Rattus norvegicus: one gene and its partner. The protein of the gene in region 2 purifies or fractionates together with the protein of the main gene of each other region. This does not show direct contact. Links are inferred from orthologs where the notes say so. Each region holds a gene or a part of one and is shown on either strand. Other genes may lie near its edges.

Region 1 (4,511 bases), on a different chromosome or scaffold from region 2:
TCCTGGCACTTTACCTTCTCTAAGTGTCTTCCCATTTCTGTCTGTCGCCCCACCACCTGTGTGCTGCTGCTCTGGACCTGTTTGCTCCCCAGAACTCTTCAGACTCCCCCTTGCTGCTGTCACTGCTCTGCTGATGCTCTGTGGTTTATCTCTTCATATTACCAGTCTAGCTTGTAAACCGTCACCTGAGAGGAGTTCCTATTGGATGAAAGACTCTCCCAGCTTACTGAAAAAGTTAGCCAAATAGCTTGTTTATATAGTCAGAAATGGGGTGTGGCAAGGATGTTTGCACCAATCACAGCCTTTCTGCTCAGCCATTACAGATGCTTCCCCCTCCACCCCACCCCCACCCCCTCCCATCCTGGGTGAAGATGGTTACTAGAGCTTACTAAAGCTTGTGATGGTAAGAGGTCTGGTGCAAGCTATTGAGATACTCATGCCTTGGGTATTGCCTTCTGGAACGGTAGCTGTGCTTTAGCAATAAGCTGCTGTGGTTACAGTGTTGCTTCCTCAAAGCAGCTGAGGAAGAGTTCTAAACAGGACAGCAGCTTGAGGACTGTTCAGTCAAATGCTAACTCGTCTGACCAAGGAAGCTAGGTAATAGAGAAAGATCTGTTTGGGAGTCAAATTTGGCTTCTCCACCCCTCAGAATAAAATTTGGTCGCTCACATTAACAGTTGTCTGATAGTACTGAACAGCGCTCTGGTCTTTAGTCCCATATGCTTGGGAAAAGTTGGGTCATTTTATCTGAACCACTTGGACTGATTTGCAAGCCACAGTCTATTCTTCTCCCAGGCTCTCCAGCTTTAGTCTTACACATACATACACACACACACACACACACACACACACACACACACACACACACCTGTCTTTCAGGCTGCTCCCTCTGACTGCCCAAGTTCAGGCCCTGTGGCTGTGGAGGTCAATAGTTGAGCAGAGGTGGGGGATCTTGTCTCTGCATTGTCCAATATGCATCCTAACAGCCTTTACTTTGTTCTGTATAAATGTACAAGACTCCTCCCCCTGTGGTGCACATGCAGGTACTTTAAAGCACGCTCAGAACTGGTCATTTTTTTCCCTTGTGTGTACACACTCACCTATTCTTTTCAGTGTGCAGGCATTAAACATAGGTATCCATATTTGTATGCACAGAGGGTTCTCTTCTATATATACGTCCAGGCATGCACACACACGACTCATACTCCATGAATACACACGTGTCTGTATAGCGAGACTATGGATATACACAGGTGTGCACACATCATCCTTTCCCTATGTGTACATGCAGGTATGGCACACACCACAGACTTTTCACCGTTGGCGCGCGTGGCACACACACATACACACAGAGGCAGACACGTGGCCCTCTTCTCCCTGCGCATGCACACAGACATGCATACAGTTGGCCCTTGGTGTACACACACAGAGGCGCGCACACACGTGGCCTCTCTCCGAGCGCACATGGAGGCGCGCGCAGCGCTTTTCAGCGTCGGCGGCCGCCACACGCGCACGCGCGCACAGGTCCCTCCCCTATCCCAGGGCGGGTAGCACCGGCGAGAGGCGCGGGAGATGAGCGGCGGGAGGAGGAGGAGGAGGAGGGCGCCGAAGGCGCGAAAAGGCGCGCAGGCGCGCTGCGCGGAGCGGGCCCGCCGCCGCCCACGTCACCGCGCCGCGCGCACGTCACGCCGGCCCGACGCTCGGCCCAGGGTGAGCCCGCGTCCCGGCGCCGCTGGCTCAGGGCAGGGACCGCCAGGGCCGGACCTCCGGGCCGGCGCCCCCGCGCCCCCGTCGTCCGCCCCGCGCGCCCCGCCGGCCAGCCAGGTGTGGCGGGGGCACCGGCCGGTCGCGGCGGGAGGGCGCGGGCTGGGCGCGCGGCCCCGTTCCCGCCCCAGCCCGGTTCCCGCGTCCGGTCGCATCCCGCCCGCCGCCCAGCCTCAGCCCGGAGTCGGCCTCGACGCGGCGTGGCGTGGGCGGCAGGCAGGGGTCCTGGCCACCCTCCGGCTCTGTCCGCGCCAGCGCGCGAGGCTGGTGGCCGGGCCTAGTGACAGGTGGGGCGGCCGGGCGGCCGGGAGCCCACCTGTCAGAGTGGTCGGCGGCACCTCGGGGTCTTGGGCAGCCCCGGGGCCTGCTGCAGCCCGGGCAGAACCACGCAGTGTCGTGTGCCTAAGTGGGGGGCCTTGTGACTCGGTGGGGCCTGTGGTCAGGCGGGGCCCGCGTGCCCAGGTGGGGTGAGCCTGACGGCTGCGCCTCGCTCCGCCAAGGGGCCGGGGTCTGGCCCCTCTGCGGGTGGGAGCTGCTGGTGCCCGCAGGGAGCATTTCCATTTGGAGAGGTGACTTAAAATCCCTGTGTGGGACCTGCTTGGCTAGCTCTCCTGTTGGGATTGTGCAAGAAAGGCCCCTGCTGCCTGGAGGCCTGCCTCGTGCTGGTGGGGAGATGTTTCCTTTGAAATGCGATGTGCGTTAAACTTCTTTTTTTTTCATTCTCATTCATTACTCGTCCCCTTCCTTTTTACCAGATAAGTCCGGTTTCTTCTGTGGAGGGTACGCAGTTAAAGCCTTGATTTCCTGGATCTGGTAACATGGCAAAAGATGTAAGTATGAGTTCTGCATGCTGCAGACATGTTAGCATAGCTCGCTGCAGTTCTCTCCCTTTATTTGAGAGTGGCCATACCTGCGTGGCAGTGGTTTGCTCAGACATTTTACAGGCAGGAGCTGGGATGGAGGTGAGGGGTGGCCAGTCAGTAGGTGGGTGCCTCCCCTCCGCACAAATGTTCTTTGTCATCTGAAGCCTGGCACGTTTTTTTTTTTTTTTTTCTTTGTGGTTAAGATGATGATGTCTGGATTTTTCTTTAATCTATCTAAACCGCTTGAATACAAAATTTGTGTTTGAATGCATCTCCCAGTTGAAATGAACGTGTGAGGGGGGTATTTTGCTAGTGGGTTTCCACGAAGGAGAGCTGTCAGCATGCAACTTACGATGCATTATGCATGAAACTTAACTTGTTTTATGTAGTATGTAAGACCGTAATTCCACTTTGATGGGTTGAATCCCAACTACTTGTTTGGGCACATTTTTCTCTCAGAAAGATGACGTTTGGTGGTTAATGAAACACGGAAACGCTGGTTGGTTAAGCTTCGTATTTACTACAAAGCTACTGAGCATTTGAAATTTCTTTTTTGAAATGGGTACTGACAGTTAGGCTTTTAGGGGGCAAAAATACAGTCTGTGATTTTGGTCACATACATGTTCGCAGTATTACTTTATAACTCCCTCCAACACTGATCGTGCCTGTGCCAGTGTTTCAGCATTCACTGTCCTTTGACTATTAGATGAGTGTAATTTTCTGTGCAGCCCTGAAAATGCAGGCAGATAATACCACATCAGCTAGACTTGTACCCAAGTGCACTGAAACTGTGGCGCAGGTACCGAGTCTTGTCCTGACTTAGAGGCCCAAGGATTTAGTCATGCCTAGTGGCCCACCTGGATCAGACGGTGTCCGTCTTATGGTCATCAAGCACTGGACCTGCTCTTGGGAGTCGAGTTCCACCCTGAGAGACCGTGTGTAGGTCACCTGAAGTCACAGCTGTATGTGGCGTGGGGCTCGATTTCGTTATGTCTGTTGTTTGCCTGCCTCCACGTCCTGACTCTTCCCCCCGTGTGTGCCTAAGGAGAGACGTGCCGCTCAGTGCGTGCCCACAAAGTAGCTAGGTCTGGTAAACGGTGTGTAAGCAGGGCACTGGCTCCCGTGCCTTCGTTGAGACCCCATGGCCTGGTGTGGTTTCGGGGATCATTGCATCTTCTTCAGTGATCTTCAGTGAGTCAGCATGCTCCAAGTCCTGTCACCTCAGTTTTGCATCATGCACTCCTGTGTGCTGTGTCCCTGGGGAAGGGGTGGGTGGGTGGGTAGACACCATGATGGCAAGTGGTCAGGATGTCCTATCCAGTGGAGAGTGTGAGGCCAGCTGGTTTGGGGTTAGCCATTGTGGTATGGTGAGGCCAGTGCTGTGACTGGGTAAGAGCGCTGCTGCTTTGTCCCTCCACAAGTGCGCACAGACCTGGGCAGAGGCGAAGCGGCTCCCCCTGTTCTCTGGCTGGAAGTGGGGGTTGCAGGGTTGGGCCTTCCCTGTGCTTTTTCAGTAGGATGCAGTATTGGGGTTTGGAAAGGGACTTTGTAACCTGTGCTGAAGGGTAGGAAAGAGGCACCACTGGAGCTGTGTAAGCACTTGATGCTTAAGACGAACTCTGGCTGTAAAGTGCACTGTCGACATGGGGCTCGGAAGGCCATGACGCTGGCGAGAACAGAGGGGCAAAAGTCACGCTCTAGGTCTCAGAAAGGGCAGACAGAAGACAAATAGCTTAGGGGCTTTTCTGCCCCTGCTGGTGCCCAGGCAGAGCATCGAGTATGTTGGGCTCCCTGTGGACTGTGGGCTATGGAATGGGGCAGGCAGGAGCTGGCAGACGAGCAGTGGTAGAGGGGTGGTCTGTGCCTGCAGGTACTCGGGGTCTT
Region 2 (4,689 bases):
TGTTTTGTTTTACATTTATCATTGTTTCTCATAAAAGCACAATATAGAAATTTAATATCCTTGAAGAATATTGTTTATAGTCTAGATTTTATTTAAACTAAAGCCATCAAATACAAAATTAAATTCAATGATAAAAATGGAATAAATTTATAGGATGTAATTTACTAACTGAGGAATTAAAACTATGTCTAGTGGTACCTGATTGTGGTCTATACCTTATGAATATAGCCTCATTCTGCAGAATGACATGACCTATCAAAGATGCAGCCAAGGAAAGTAATTGTCTGCTCCATTATAGAGCATCTGAATCAGGTGCTTTAATAAAAATTTTACATATAGGTGTGTATACATCCATTCCAGTGAAATATTGAAGAAATACTATGAACCCATCTTTTATAAAGACTTAAAGAAGAAAAGCTTTCAGACATCTAGAATAGCTTAGGCTTGGCTTTACATGGCAACTGAAACAGATTCAGTTCAGAGGTCGTTCTGACCCAAGGGATTCAAATGCTGGCTGTGGTCACACAAACAAGTCATTAGCAAGCTGTAGCCCTGTGCTGCAGCTGCCTGCTCCCTGCTCTCCCTCTGGCCAGCCTTACTCTTTAAATTCTACCTGCCAATAAACACGTCAACTGGGGGAATAACCCCCAACTCCTCAACTCTTGCCTTCCATCTGTGCTCCGCAGTCCTCCGTCCTGTTTTCCTCTCATTCCTCTACGGAAACAGTCTCATGTAACCTGCATCTTCGTATTAACAAGGCCCTGGTGTACGTCTATGGCTCTATCCAAACGTGGATGCCACTCGACTTCAGAAGAAGCAGAAGGAAACATAACAGCAGAGAAACTCGAGCTCCTACAGTTAATTTAGGGGCAAAGTCAAAAGAGACAATTCAGAGAGAGGAAGAAGCTGAGAGGGTCATAGTGCAGAACACTTACTTTTGGGAACACAGTGTCCCTTAAGACTTCTGGTGAGTGGCCCAGAGCCTCTTCAGTTTCAATCCAAATGACAATGCTTCTCTGAGTCCTCCTCAAGTAATGTTTCCACCACTAAAAATTGGATCTACAAGAGCTCAGATATACTGGTAATAAAAAAAGTCAGGGGCTTCCAAGTGGGCCCCAGGCCCCTTTTAAAGTAGGCCCACTTCTGTCCTGGGCCAACTCCCCTGTGCACTACAATCCTTCCAGGGGCAGGGATTCAGCCTGGTGCTTCTCTTCTGAGTGTCACCACCTACTCTACTTCTCCGTTCCTCTAAGCCCAAGACTGGCTGTGGAGTAGGACACCAGCTTCCCCCTATCCTTGCTGTCCCTGCAAATAAACAAACAGACTCGTCTAATTCCTAAAAGTATGAGAGAATAGAAGGAAAAACAAAAACAAGCGAACAAAAAAGGCACCAATATAGTGGCAGAGATCAGGGTTATAGTAATTGTCTCTACTTCAAAACGCCTGCCTCAAAATAACCAATCAAATGAGCTACATATTGCGTATGTCCAAATATGTATACAGTACACACTAAGCCATTCCCATCCTTACACAGACATACACCCTGTGCTTTTCAAAACACTTATAACAGGAGTCCAAAAATAGAAGTAGCTTCTCATTTTAGAATCTTTCCTTGAACTTAAAAAGTATTTAAAACCTTGCTTTTTAATAGATGCCAAGAAACGCCGAAAATATTCTATTCGATGTAAATGAGGACTCACAGTAAAAAAAAAAAAAAAAAAAAAAAAAAAAAACCTATTGAGATTTACACGATAGGTCTGTCAAAAGCGGCCAGTATTGTAGAAACAATAAAATCTCTACATGTCTCTACACTCACCATGTTAATAAAATTCTATAAACTGAATTTTAAAACCGGGATACCTCCTTTTTAGAAACAACTTTGACTATTTAGAATGTCAAAATTATACAGGCCCTCTTTTTCAAACAGAAAATTCCCCATGTTCTGCGATAATTTATATTCTAATAGGCTTCAGAGTAGCAAAATAAATACGTTACTTAAACATTGCTACAAATCACAGGACTCAAAGAAATGAACTTAAAGTCTGCCTTCCTGCAAGGGACCTGTGACCAGGTGGAGACGGATCAAAAAGGCCACTGACTTTTTAAATGTTTTTAAAAGACAATACTATATATCTACCACACCACAAATTTAGGGCCAGAAACAGACAAAGATCAGGATACCCCGTTTGTGTAAAGATATTCAGGCACTCGAGTAAAAATGCGTTGCTGGGCTCGCCTCCCAACTACTTAATTGTAAAATATTACAGAAATGGAACAAAAACCAGACGTGAAACCTTGGCCTGACCCTTCCGGACATCCGTTACTAAGAAAGTTTGATCTATTACGATCCTACAGCGATACTTTTTCCCCAGGGGGACCGAATGACATCGCGGCCTTTCCTCCGTCCCTTCCCCCTCCCCGTCCCCGTCCCCGCCCCCTCCCCGCACACCAACACCACAATGCGGCCAACGTCTCCGCGCCCGGCTGGGGAGGGGGACACCGCGCCGGCCACGCACTGAATAGCAGCGGCCGGCGACCCCCTTCCATAATTCATCCCCCGAAGCAGGCGTCGCGGACCACGTCGCCGCTGCCGCCGCGGCCGCCACCGATCCCTCGCCGCAAGCCGCGGCTCAGCCGGGTCGCGCCCCACCGCGGACACCGCCTGGCTGGCCGCCCCGCCGTCCCGCGTCGCGCGGGGGCCGCGGGCCGCGGACGCGCGGGACTCACCGGGTGGAGGTGCCCTTCCGCACATCGCACATCATGCACTTGAAGGCCTCGGCGCTGTTCCGGAAGGTGCAGACGCTGCAGTCCCAGTAGCCCTCATCCGAGGCGGGCTTCGGCTGCCGCTTCGGCCTGCAGGACACAACCGGACACGACGCAGCGCGGGGTCAGCCGCAGGCCGCGCCCGGCCCCGTGCCCCGCCCCGCCCGGCCCGCGACCCCCGCCCCGCCCGGCGCCGCGCGGGGGAGGGGAGCGCGGCCGCTGACCCCGGCCGCCATCGCGGCCCATTGTGGGCAGCGGCGCGCGGCGCCGCACCCCCTCTCCACACACACACACACACACGCACACACACACACACACACACACACACACGCGCGCGCCCCGGGCCGCGCCACCGGGCCGCGGGCGCTCCGCCGGCGGGCGCCCTACCTGGTGGGGCTCTTCTTGTCGCCCATGCTCGCTGCCGACGCGCGCGAGGCCGCGGCCCGTCTGTCAGCGCCGAGGCGAGGGGCCGGCGGAAGCGCGGAGGCGAGGGGGCGGGGAAGGCCGCGCCGCGAGCTGCAGCCGCCGCCGCCGCCGCCACCGCCGCCGCCGGATCCCACGCAGCCTCCAGCTGTCGGGGAAACTCCTGCCCGCGCGCACGTGACCCGCGCCGGCCAACCAGCGGCCGCGCCGGAGACTTCAAACGCGGGGAGCGCGGCCCAGCACCCGCGGCGAGTTCGCGGCGCCGCCTCCCTCCTGCTCACCCGCTCGCCGCCCGGAGCGCTCAGGCCGTGGCTCGCACGCCCGGAGGGGCGCGGTGGCTGGCGCCCGCAGACACACGTGCGCCCAGCGCGGCGGGGACCGTCGTCCTTCATTGGGGGTAGCGACCCAGAGGCTCGGGAAAGGTTCGGTGCCCTGCTCTGACTTACATAATTCGAACGTGACGAAACCAGGGTCTGATCCTGTTTTAATTCCAGAGGCGTCCTCTTGGCCTCACGGGGCTCTGCAGTGGCTTGTTATAAAACGGACGTTCGTGAGCTTTCCTAAGACGAATGAGGTTGCTTGTGTCCTGGACACCACCTCCCCAGCCTCGTTACTTCAGCCTATCAGAGACACACCTCGCCTGTTAGACCCAAACAACCATCTCGCTGGTCCTTTAAGCTCTGCTCCCACCTCCCCAACCTAGCGGGTACCCCACAACCAGAGTTAGCGTGCCATCGCTCTGATCGAGAGGCGACCTTAGCGTGCCAAGTCAGGAGAGCTGCTCCTTTGAAGAAAGGGTAGATGAAATCCATCCTTTCGCGGAGCCCTGCCTTTACTGCCTTACTTGGGTGTGCTGATGGAGGCGGTGTAGCTTAGCGTTAGGCTTAACTAACTGAAGAGGACCCAGTTCAGGCACTGAGTACTTAACAGTTGATCTGTGTGACTCCTAGTTGGGATACACTATAAAGGGTGTTTAGAAAATCCAGCTGGACTAAAGCAGGATAAAGCAAATTTTCATCATAATACTCAGAGGGGGGTGGCAACTAAAAACTTAGGAGTTAATTATTTATGAAGTCCTTAGTATTTTGAACTATATTGTCCGTGGGTAATTTAAATAGGAAAGCAGCTAAAAACCGCAGCTAAGGGAGACTGCTGTATTGATGTATTACTTACCAAAAACATCAAAAGTTAATAACCGAAGGGGGAATGCTGACCTTTTATCATTGGGAATTAGAGATTAATTGGGGTAATTAAGAGGGAACCGGGCTACCAGATTCTGAGAGAAGAAACTTTTTTTTTTTCTTTCGGAGCTGGGGACCGAACCCAGGGCCTTGCGCTTCCTAGGTAAGCGCTCTACCACTGAGCTAAATCCCCAGCCCCCTGAGAGAAGAAACTTAAAATGAAGTATAGCAGAACGGGCAAGCATATGGCTCAGCGGTGGAGCACTTTTGAAAAATCATTTTAAAAAATTGTTTTATGTGGGGTCTGCTTGGTTGTTTAGTT

The links. The genes of interacting proteins can lie anywhere in the genome.
Region 1: the proteins of Yaf2 (region 2) and Tfdp1 purify together in Homo sapiens (affinity purification with mass spectrometry; 3 studies listed by BioGRID and IntAct, counting the BioPlex papers as one, with this or other methods). This does not show direct contact. The link is inferred for Rattus norvegicus from reciprocal best matches to the Homo sapiens genes YAF2 and TFDP1.

The regions. Positions count from the first base shown.
Region 1 is NC_086034.1:82,900,180-82,904,690, reverse strand, and holds the start of Tfdp1 (transcription factor Dp-1), read left to right. Parts: upstream 1-1,524; 5' UTR 1,525-1,710; exon of another isoform or gene 1,711-2,333; intron 2,334-2,519; 5' UTR 2,520-2,582; coding exon 2,583-2,594; intron 2,595-4,511. UniProt on the Homo sapiens protein: Can stimulate E2F-dependent transcription.
Region 2 is NC_086025.1:126,375,484-126,380,172, forward strand, and holds the start of Yaf2 (YY1-associated factor 2), read right to left. Parts: upstream 3,177-4,689; coding exon 3,151-3,176; intron 2,854-3,150; coding exon 2,728-2,853; intron 1-2,727. UniProt on the Homo sapiens protein: Binds to MYC and inhibits MYC-mediated transactivation. Also binds to MYCN and enhances MYCN-dependent transcriptional activation. Increases calpain 2-mediated proteolysis of YY1 in vitro.